2 linked regions of the Macaca fascicularis genome follow. The protein of the gene in region 1 purifies or fractionates together with the protein of each later gene. This does not show direct contact. Links are inferred from orthologs where the notes say so. Each region holds a gene or a part of one and is shown on either strand. Other genes may lie near its edges.

The links.
Region 2: the proteins of IRF7 (region 1) and TRIM21 purify together in Homo sapiens (affinity purification with mass spectrometry; 3 studies listed by BioGRID, with this or other methods). This does not show direct contact. The link is inferred for Macaca fascicularis from reciprocal best matches to the Homo sapiens genes IRF7 and TRIM21.

The regions. Positions count from the first base shown.
Region 1 is NC_088388.1:514,884-519,270, reverse strand, and holds the start of IRF7 (interferon regulatory factor 7), read left to right. Parts: upstream 1-1,366; 5' UTR 1,367-1,490; coding exon 1,491-1,508; intron 1,509-1,703; coding exon 1,704-2,032; intron 2,033-2,117; coding exon 2,118-2,280; intron 2,281-2,363; coding exon 2,364-2,577; intron 2,578-3,124; coding exon 3,125-3,183; intron 3,184-3,259; coding exon 3,260-3,485; intron 3,486-3,634; coding exon 3,635-3,721; intron 3,722-3,806; coding exon 3,807-3,887; intron 3,888-3,959; coding exon 3,960-4,349; intron 4,350-4,387.
Region 2 is NC_088388.1:70,002,470-70,006,922, forward strand, and holds the start of TRIM21 (E3 ubiquitin-protein ligase TRIM21), read left to right. Parts: upstream 1-1,467; 5' UTR 1,468-1,514; intron 1,515-4,453. UniProt on the Homo sapiens protein: E3 ubiquitin-protein ligase whose activity is dependent on E2 enzymes, UBE2D1, UBE2D2, UBE2E1 and UBE2E2.

The sequences.
Region 1 (4,387 bases):
CAAGGGGTCCCTTGTGGGTCGTCAGCACTGTCCCTGATGAAAAGACACTATTAATTCCTTTCCAAATGCTTTAATTGCGAGAGCGTCTGATATTCTTGTCTGAACAATCTAAAGAACCCAAAGGGGGCCGCATGGTGGCTCCCGCCTGTAATCCCAGTACTTTGGGAGGCCAAGGCGGGTGGATCAGCTGAGGTCAGGAGTTCGACTAGCTTGACCAACTTAGAGAAACCCCGTCTCTACTAAAAATACAAAATTAGCCGGGCATGGTGGCTCATGCCTGTAATCCCAGCTACTCGGGAGCCTGAGACGGGAGAATCACTTGAACCCATGAGGTGGAGGTTGTGGTGGGCCAAGATTGTGCCACTGCACTCCAGCCTGGGCAACAAAAGCGAAACTCCATCTCAAAAAAAGGAACCCAAACGGTGCAGCTGCCCCTTTTTAGAGGCACATCCACCTCCCCTTACCCACTTCCCTTTTTTGAGACTCAGTCATGCTCTGTCCCCTGGGCTGGAGTGGAGTGGCTCCATCTCAGCTCACTGCAGCCTCGACCTCCTGGGCTCAAGTGATTCTCCCGCCTCAGCCTCCCAAGCACCTGTAACTACAGGCCTGCGCCACCACGCCCGGCTGATTTTTGTATTTTTAGTAGAGACTGGGTTTCGTCACGTTTGCCAGGCTGGTCTCGAACTCCTGACCTCAAGTGATCGGCTGAGGCGGGCGGATCACGAGGTTAGGAGATCGAGACCATCCTGGCTAACACGGTGAAACCCCGTCTCTACTAAAAATACAAAAAATTAGTCGGGCGAGGTGGCGGGCGCCTGTGGTCCCAGCTACTCGGGAGGCTGAGGCAGGAGAATGGCGGGAACCCGGGAGGCGGAGCTTGCAGTGAGTCGACATCCGGCCACTGCACTCCAGCCTGGACGACAGAGCGAGACTCCACCTCAAAAAAAAAAAAAAAAAAGAAAGAAAAAAAAAAAGCACAACAAGAAGGGCCTGGTTTTGCCTCGGGTCCGGTTTCGCTTACGTTTGGGGGAGTCCCCGCCTTATCCCACTGTGTCCCCCACCTCCGATGACTGCCGGCGCCCCGGCCCCAGGCGTGTAGGGGCTACTTCCCAGAGAAGCGGCTGGACCCTGCAGGGCCGAGCCACACAGGCAGACAGGGCCCACCGCTGCCCCCTCGCCGCCACTCCCTACTCCGCGCTGCCCCGGACGGGGTTCCGCTGGTCGCATTCGAGAGCAGGAACTGGCCGCGCGCGCCCTTCCCGGAAACGCCCGCCTGGTCACGTGACCTCCTTGGTTGCACCTGCAGCTCTTTGGGCCCCGCCCCCGGCCCGGACACCATAAAAGCGCCGGCCCTCCGCTTCTCCGCGGTAAGAAACCTCCCGCCCCGGCGACTGTGGCACCCAGGTACTCGGGACCCCGGACCCACGCGGTGCAGGTCCGGGAGTGAGAGACTCACCGGGAGGGGTAGAGCCAAGGGCTGGGGGAGCCTGATGGATGAGGGTCGGGAAGTGAGGGAGGCGGAGGCGGAGGCGGGGGCGGAGGCGGGGGCGGGGGTGGGGCCCGGGGCGGAGGCGGGGGCGGGGCTCTGCGGCGATGAGAACCGGACGGAGATGGGATCGGGGAGGGTGGAAGCGCCACTGTTTTAAGTTTCGCTTTCTCGGAAGCCTGGCCCGCCCCCGACGTGGCTTTTCCCGTCTCCGCAGGGTCCGGCCTGCACCGGCCCGGCAGGCCTGGACACTGGTTCAACACCTGTGACTTCACGTGTGCGCGCCAGCCATACCTGCAGTCACACCTGTAGCCCCCTCTGCCAAGAGATCCACACCGAGGCAGCGTCGGTGGCTACAAGCCCTCAGTCCACACCTGTGACCCCCACCACCTGTGACACCTGGCCACACCTGTGGACACCTGGCCACACGACCTGTGGCCGCGGCCTGGCGTCTGCAGTGACAGGAGCCCTTACCTCCCCTGTTGTAACACCTGACCGCCACCCAACTGCCCCTGCAGAGGGAGCAATGGCCTTGGCTCCTGAGAGGTAAGAGCCCGGCCCACCTTCTCCAGATGCCCGTCCCCGAGCGCCCTGCAGCCAGCCCTGACTCTCCGCGGCCGGGCACCCGCAGGGCGGCCCCACGCGTGCTGTTCGGAGAGTGGCTCCTTGGAGAGATCAGCAGCGGCTGCTATGAGGGGCTGCAGTGGCTGGACGAGGCCCGCACCTGCTTCCGCGTGCCCTGGAAGCACTTCGCGCGCAAGGACCTGAGCGAGGCTGACGCGCGCATCTTCAAGGTGGGACCCCGGCCCCGTCCCGGGTGGGAGGACCCGCCTAGGACCCCGCGGGCCCAGCCCACGTGTTCTCTCCCCCTCTTCAGGCCTGGGCCGTGGCCCGCGGCAGGTGGCCGCCTAGCAGCAGAGGAGGTGACCCGCCGCCCCCCGAGGCCGAGGCTGCGGAGCGCGCCGGCTGGAAAACCAACTTCCGCTGCGCACTGCGCAGCACGCGCCGCTTCGTGATGCTGCGAGATAACTCGGGGGACCCGGCCGACCCGCACAAGGTGTACGCGCTGAGCCCGGAGCTGGGCTGGCGAGGTGAGCGACGCCGGCTGCCAAGCGCGTTGGCATTCGTCCTGCCTGGGGAAAGAACATTCTCTGGGCCGGGCGTGGTGGCTCACGCCTGTAATCCCAGCACTTTGGGAGGCCGAGGTGGGCGGATCACAAGGTCAGGAGATCGAGACCATGGTGAAACCCCGTCTCTACTAAAAATAGAAAAAATTAGCCGGGCGCAGGGGCGGGCGCCTGTAGTCCCAGCTACTCGGGAGGCTGAGGCAGGAGAATGGCGTGAACCCGGGAGGCGGAGCTTGCAGTGAGCTGAGATCCGGCCACTGCACTCCAGCCTGGGCAACAGAGCGAGACTCCGTCTCAAAAAAAAAAAAAAAAAAAAAAGAACATTCTCTGGATCAGAATTGGGTTTTTAGCAGCCGTTCTGGGAGAGGCTGCCAGCAGGCCCAGGACAGTTGGAGCCGCATACCCACCTCCTTAGGCCGCAGCACAAGGAAGCTGGTGCGGGTTACGCCAGGCTCTTGTTGCGTCTCTCACCCTGGTCTCGGAACCTAACACCTGCCCCATTCTCCCTCAGAAGGCCCAGGCACGGACCAGACTGAGGCAGAGGCCCCCGCGGCTGTCCGGCCACCGCAGGTAGTCTTCTCTCTGCCTGCCTCTCCTCCTGCCAGGCCGCGGAGCTGCTTATGCTGACCCTGACTTTTCCTTACAGGGCAGGCCCCCAGGGCCATTCCTGGCACACAGAGATGCTGGACTCCAAGCCCCAGGCCCCTTCCCTGCCCCAGCTGGTGACAAGGGGGACCTCCTGCTCCAGGCAGTGCAACAGAGCTGCCTGGCGGACCATCTGCTGACAGCGTCATGGGGGGCAGACCCAGTCCCAGCCCAGGCTCCTGGAGAGGGACAAGAGGGTCTTCCCCTGACTGGGGCCTGTGCTGGAGGTGTGGGCAGTGCCGTGGAGGGGTGTGTGTGTGGGGGGAAAGCATGGGAGGGGCCAGTGCACCTGGACGGACACTTAAGAAGGGGGCTGGGGATTGGGGAGCTGGAGAAGTAGGAAGGGACCACATTCCCACTGACCTCCCCTCCTCAGGTCCAGGGCTCCCTGCTGGGGAGCTGTGCACATGGGCAGTAGAAGCAACCCCTAGCCCCGGGCCCCAGCCCGCGGCGCTAATGACAGGTGAGAGGGGTAGGGGTTGGGGGGCCTGGGGCACAGGGAGGGGCTGGGGATGAGGTACCAGCACAGGATTCCCTTCCCGATGCAGGCGAGGCCACGGCCCCAGAGCCCCCGCACCAGGCAGAGCCATACCTGGCACCCTCCCCAAGTGCCTGCACTGTGGTGCAAGGTGAGTGGGTCCTGGGAAGGGGACAGCCTGTCCCTGCCCACCTCTGCCGCTCACAGCTTGGTCTCCACACAGAGCCCAGCCCAGGGGCGCTGGACGTGACCATCATGTACAAGGGCCGCACAGTGCTGCAGAAGGTGGTGGGGCACCCGAGCTGCATGTTCCTGTACGGCCCCCCAGACCCAGCTGTCCGGGCCACAGACCCCCAGCAGGTAGCATTCCCCAGCCCTGCTGAGCTCCCCGACCAGAAGCAGCTGCGCTACACGGAGGAACTGCTGAGGCACGTGGCCCCTGGGCTGCAGCTGGAGCTTCGGGGGCCACAGCTGTGGGCCCGGCGCATGGGCAAGTGCAAGGTGTACTGGGAGGTGGGTGGCCCCCCGGGCTCCGCCAGCCCCTCCACCCCAGCCTGCCTGCTGCCTCGGAACTGCGACACCCCCATCTTTGACTTCAGAGTCTTCTTCCAAGGTCAGTGAGGCTCCTGCCTGGGGGGCTGTCTCCAGGGG
Region 2 (4,453 bases), about 69 Mb from region 1:
CAGTTTGAAGGTTCCTCAAAAAACAATTAAAAATAGAGCTACCATATGATCTAGCAACCCTATTGGATACTGCTAGATATATACCCAGAAGAAATACTGTTAGATATATACCCAAGAGAAAGGAAATCAGTATATCAAAGAGATATCTGCACTCCCATGTTTACTGCAGCACTATTCACAGTAGCCAAGATTTGGAAGCAATATAAGTGTCCATCAACAGATAAATGGATAAGGAAAGTATGGTACACATACACAATGGAGTACTCTTCAGCCATAAAAAGAAGAAATTTTCATTTGCTACAAGATGGATGGAATTGGGGATTATTATGTTAGGTAAAATAAACCAAGCACAGGCAAACAAACAAACAGTTATGTTCTCACTTGTTTGTGGAAGCTAAAAATTAAAACAATTGAATTCATTAAGATAGAGAGGATGATGGTTACCAAAGTCTGGGAAGGGTAGTGGGGCAAGGGTGCAGGGGATGATTAATGGGTTCAAAAATACATGACATAGAATGAATAAGATCTAGTGTTTTATAGCATAACAAGATGAATAGAGTCAATAATTTATCATTTTAAAATAACTAAAAGCATGTAATTGGATTGTATATAACACAAATGATAAATGCTTGAGGTGATGGACAGATACCCCACTTACCCTGATGTGATTATTACGGATTGTATGCTCTACCTGCATCAAAATATCTCATGTACCCCATAAATATATACACCTACTATAGACACACAAAATTGAAAATTAAAAAATTACTTTGGTAAATTTTATATTCTGTATGTTTTACGATTAAAAATAAAAATAATATAACCTGAGAATGTCCCTAGCTCAGTGACAAGAACACAGTTGATTGTCAAATGTCAATTCCCTTCTCACCACTCACTGGTGGGACACTTACCTTGGGGTCATGTGAAATAAATCACTCACCTGCAAGTGTTAAAAAAATATTAGTCACATCAGTCACATGAAAATAATTAGCTTCTGGAAGTAAGCAGATGGTGGCACGCGAGGAAGAGCACCGGCCACTCCTCTGCATCAGAAACTTCCTTAAAAGCAGCTTCCAGACATGCACATAGCATCTAGGTGTGGGGTGATGACCAGTGTCAAAGAAAGTAGCCCGGACTCCCCCGTCATGTAGATATTTTACCAAACCGGATAATGAAGACATGGGAGGGAGCGCGCACCCAGGACCACGGGCTACTGAGTTTCCACTCCTTACCAGTCTCAGAGAAGCCCCCTGGGCGTCCAGAGCCTCTGAAGCCTCCCCCAGTCCAACTCTGACTTCTCTCCTCTCACCTCTCTACCTTCTCTCCTCCCACCTCTCTTGCTTCTCATCAGCATTTCTCCACACAAGGCTTTCAAGGCTCTGCTCCTCCCACTGCTCCTCCCTCACTCCTCCCACTCTCCTCCTCCTCCCTCCCCTTTCCTCTCAGACTTGCCTCTGAGCGGAAACTGAAAGTGAAATAGGGAGCTGGCTACCAGCGTTGAGTCCCCTGTAAAGGTGAGTGAACCCCACTAGATCAAGGGACCCCTGCCCTCCTAGGGGACCTCTCTCCCCTGCCCCAGGGTTGCCCAGCCCCTTCAATCAGTCTCCATCCTTGAGCCGGTCCCATTTGCCCCTTCTCGCACCAGGGATCCCTCAACCCAAGACCAGCTGTGCTTCCGGCGCTGGCCCCCTACCTGGGAGGAGGCTGGGGTGTGGACATGACTGCCGAGTTACCCAGAAGGGGAAGGGACCCGGCTGCCCCCTTCCTGGGAGGAGGCTGGGTTGTGGACGTGACTGCCGAGTTACCCAGAAGGGGAAGGGGCCCGGCTGCCCCGATGCTGGCACGTGACCTGGGATGAAGGCTGGGTGCGGCTGGGAGAGCCAGGACTACAGCCTAGCCAGGACGGGTAGGGAGCTCATGTCGGGGAGGTCTGCAATTCTGGAGATTCCCAGGTCCAAAAGTCCTCCAGAGGTGAGAGGGGAAGGCTGTTTAGGATGTTCAACCAGAAATGTATTCAAAATTATTCTTTGCCCTAGAATAAGTGTTGTCAGGAACTAAACTAAGTTTGGAGCAGCTGAGAAAAGAGCCCAGGGAGTGCTGGCCACAGTTCCTGTTGCTCTGTGTGTATACATACATATACACATGCTTGTGTATATACGTATACACCTACATACCTATATACACCTGACATCTGCCGTTATAGGAAGTATTAATGAAGATATATTCAAAGCATGAAGTATGTCTGGCACATGGAAGGTACATGGTAAAAAGTAGCTATAATTTCTCAGCAGCATGGAGGCCTGTTGGTACCAGACAGGAGATGAATGAGCACTGAGGGTTTAAGCAGGAATGGACATGATGAGAGTAGAACTGTCAACAGCTTTATGAGGTTCTTGCCAATTTTCACTCCCTCTTTTAGGGACTTAGTGTCTCCTTCTGTCTCACTGGATCAATGGACCAACAATGGAGGAGTTCTTGTTATTCAGAACAAGAATAAACTTACTCAACAAACTATTTGATCGGTGTAAAAGTAATTACTGTTTTTGACATTAATTGTTTTGCCATTAATTTTATGCCTTTTATTTATTTATTTATTTATTTATTGAGAGGAAGTCTCACTCTGTTGCCCAGGCTGGAGTGCAATGGCAGAATCTCGGCTCACTGTAACCTCTGCCTCCCAGGTTTAAGCAATTCTGCTGCCTCAGCCTCCTGAGTAGCTGGGATTACAAGCGCCCACCACCACTCCCAGCTAATTTTTGTATCTTTCGTAGAGACGGAGTTTTACCATATTGGTCAGGCTGGTCTTGAACTGAACTCCTGACCTAAGGTGATCCACCCACCTCAGCCTCCCAAAGTGCTGGGGTTGCAGGTATGAGCCGCCGTGCCTGACTCATTATTTTTATTTTTCTTTTTTATTTTCCTTTGTGTCATTTTGTTTTTCTTCTTTTTTTAGTTTATTTTTAACTTTTGTGGGCACATAGTAGGTATATTTATGGGGTATATGGAATATTTTGATACAGGTATACTATGTGTCATAATCACATCCGGGTAAATAGGGCATCCATCACCTCAAGCATTGATCATCTGTGATACAAACTATGCAATTATACTCTTAGTTTTCAGTGTACAATTAAATTATTGACTATAGTCACTCTATCGTGCTATCAAATACTAGATCTAATTCACTCCACTTTTGTACTCATTAACCATCCCACCTTCCCCAACACACACACACCCTCCCTGCTACTCTTCCCAGCCTCTGGTAACCATCTTTCTATTTTATCTAACTCCATGAGTTCAATTGTTTTAATTTTTAGCTTCTACAAATGAGTGAGAACATACAATGTTTGTCTTTTGGTGCCTAGCTTATTTCACTTAACATAATGACCTCCAGTTCCATTCATGTTGTTGTGAATGACAGGATCTCATTATATTTTATGACTGAATAGTACTCCATTGTGCATATGTACCACATTTTCTTTATCCATTTATCTGTTGATGGACACTTAGATTGCTTCCAAATCTTGGCTATTGTGAAACATGCTGCCGTAAACGTGGGAATGTAGATATCTCTTTGATATACTGATTTCCTTTCTTTGGGGTATATACTAGCAGTGGGATTGCTGGATCATATGGTAGCCCTATTTTCAGTTTTTTGAAGAACCTCCAAACTGTTCCCTGTAGTGATTGTACTAATTTACCTTCCTACCAATAGCGCGTGAGTGTACCCTTTTCTCCACACCCTCCCCAGCATTTGTTATAGCCTGTCTTTTGGATAAAAGGCATTTTAACTGAGATGAGATTATATCTCATTGTAGTTTTGATTTGCATTTTTCCGATAATGATGTTGAACAACTGTTCATATGCCTGTTTGTCATTTGTGTGTCTTCTTTTGAGAAATGTCTATTCAGATCTTTTGTCCATTTTTGAATCAGATTATTATTTTTTTTCCTATAGAGTGGTTTGAGTTCCTTATATATTCTGGTTATTCACCTTTTGTCAGATGGATAGTTTGCAAATTTTTACTCCAATTCTGTGGGTTGTCTCTTCACTTTGTGGATTGTTTCCTTTGCTGTGCAGCGCCTTTTCAACATGATGTGATCCCATTTGTCCAAGTTTGCTTTGGCTGCCTGTGCTTGTGGGGTATTTGAAAGAAATCTTTGCCCAGTCCAATGTCCTGGAGAGTTTTCCCAATGTTTTCTTGTAATAGTTTAATAGTTTGAGCCCTTAGATTTAAGTCTTTAATCCATTTTGATTTGATTTCTGTATATGGTGAGATATAGGGGTGTAGTTTCATTCTTCTGCACGTGGATATCCAGTTTTCCCAGCAGCATTTTTTGAAGAGACTGTCCTTTCCTCATTGTATGTTCTTGGTACCTTTGTTGAAAATGAGCTCACTGTGGATGTACGGATTTGTTCTGGGTTCTTTATTCTACTGGTCTATGTGTCTGTT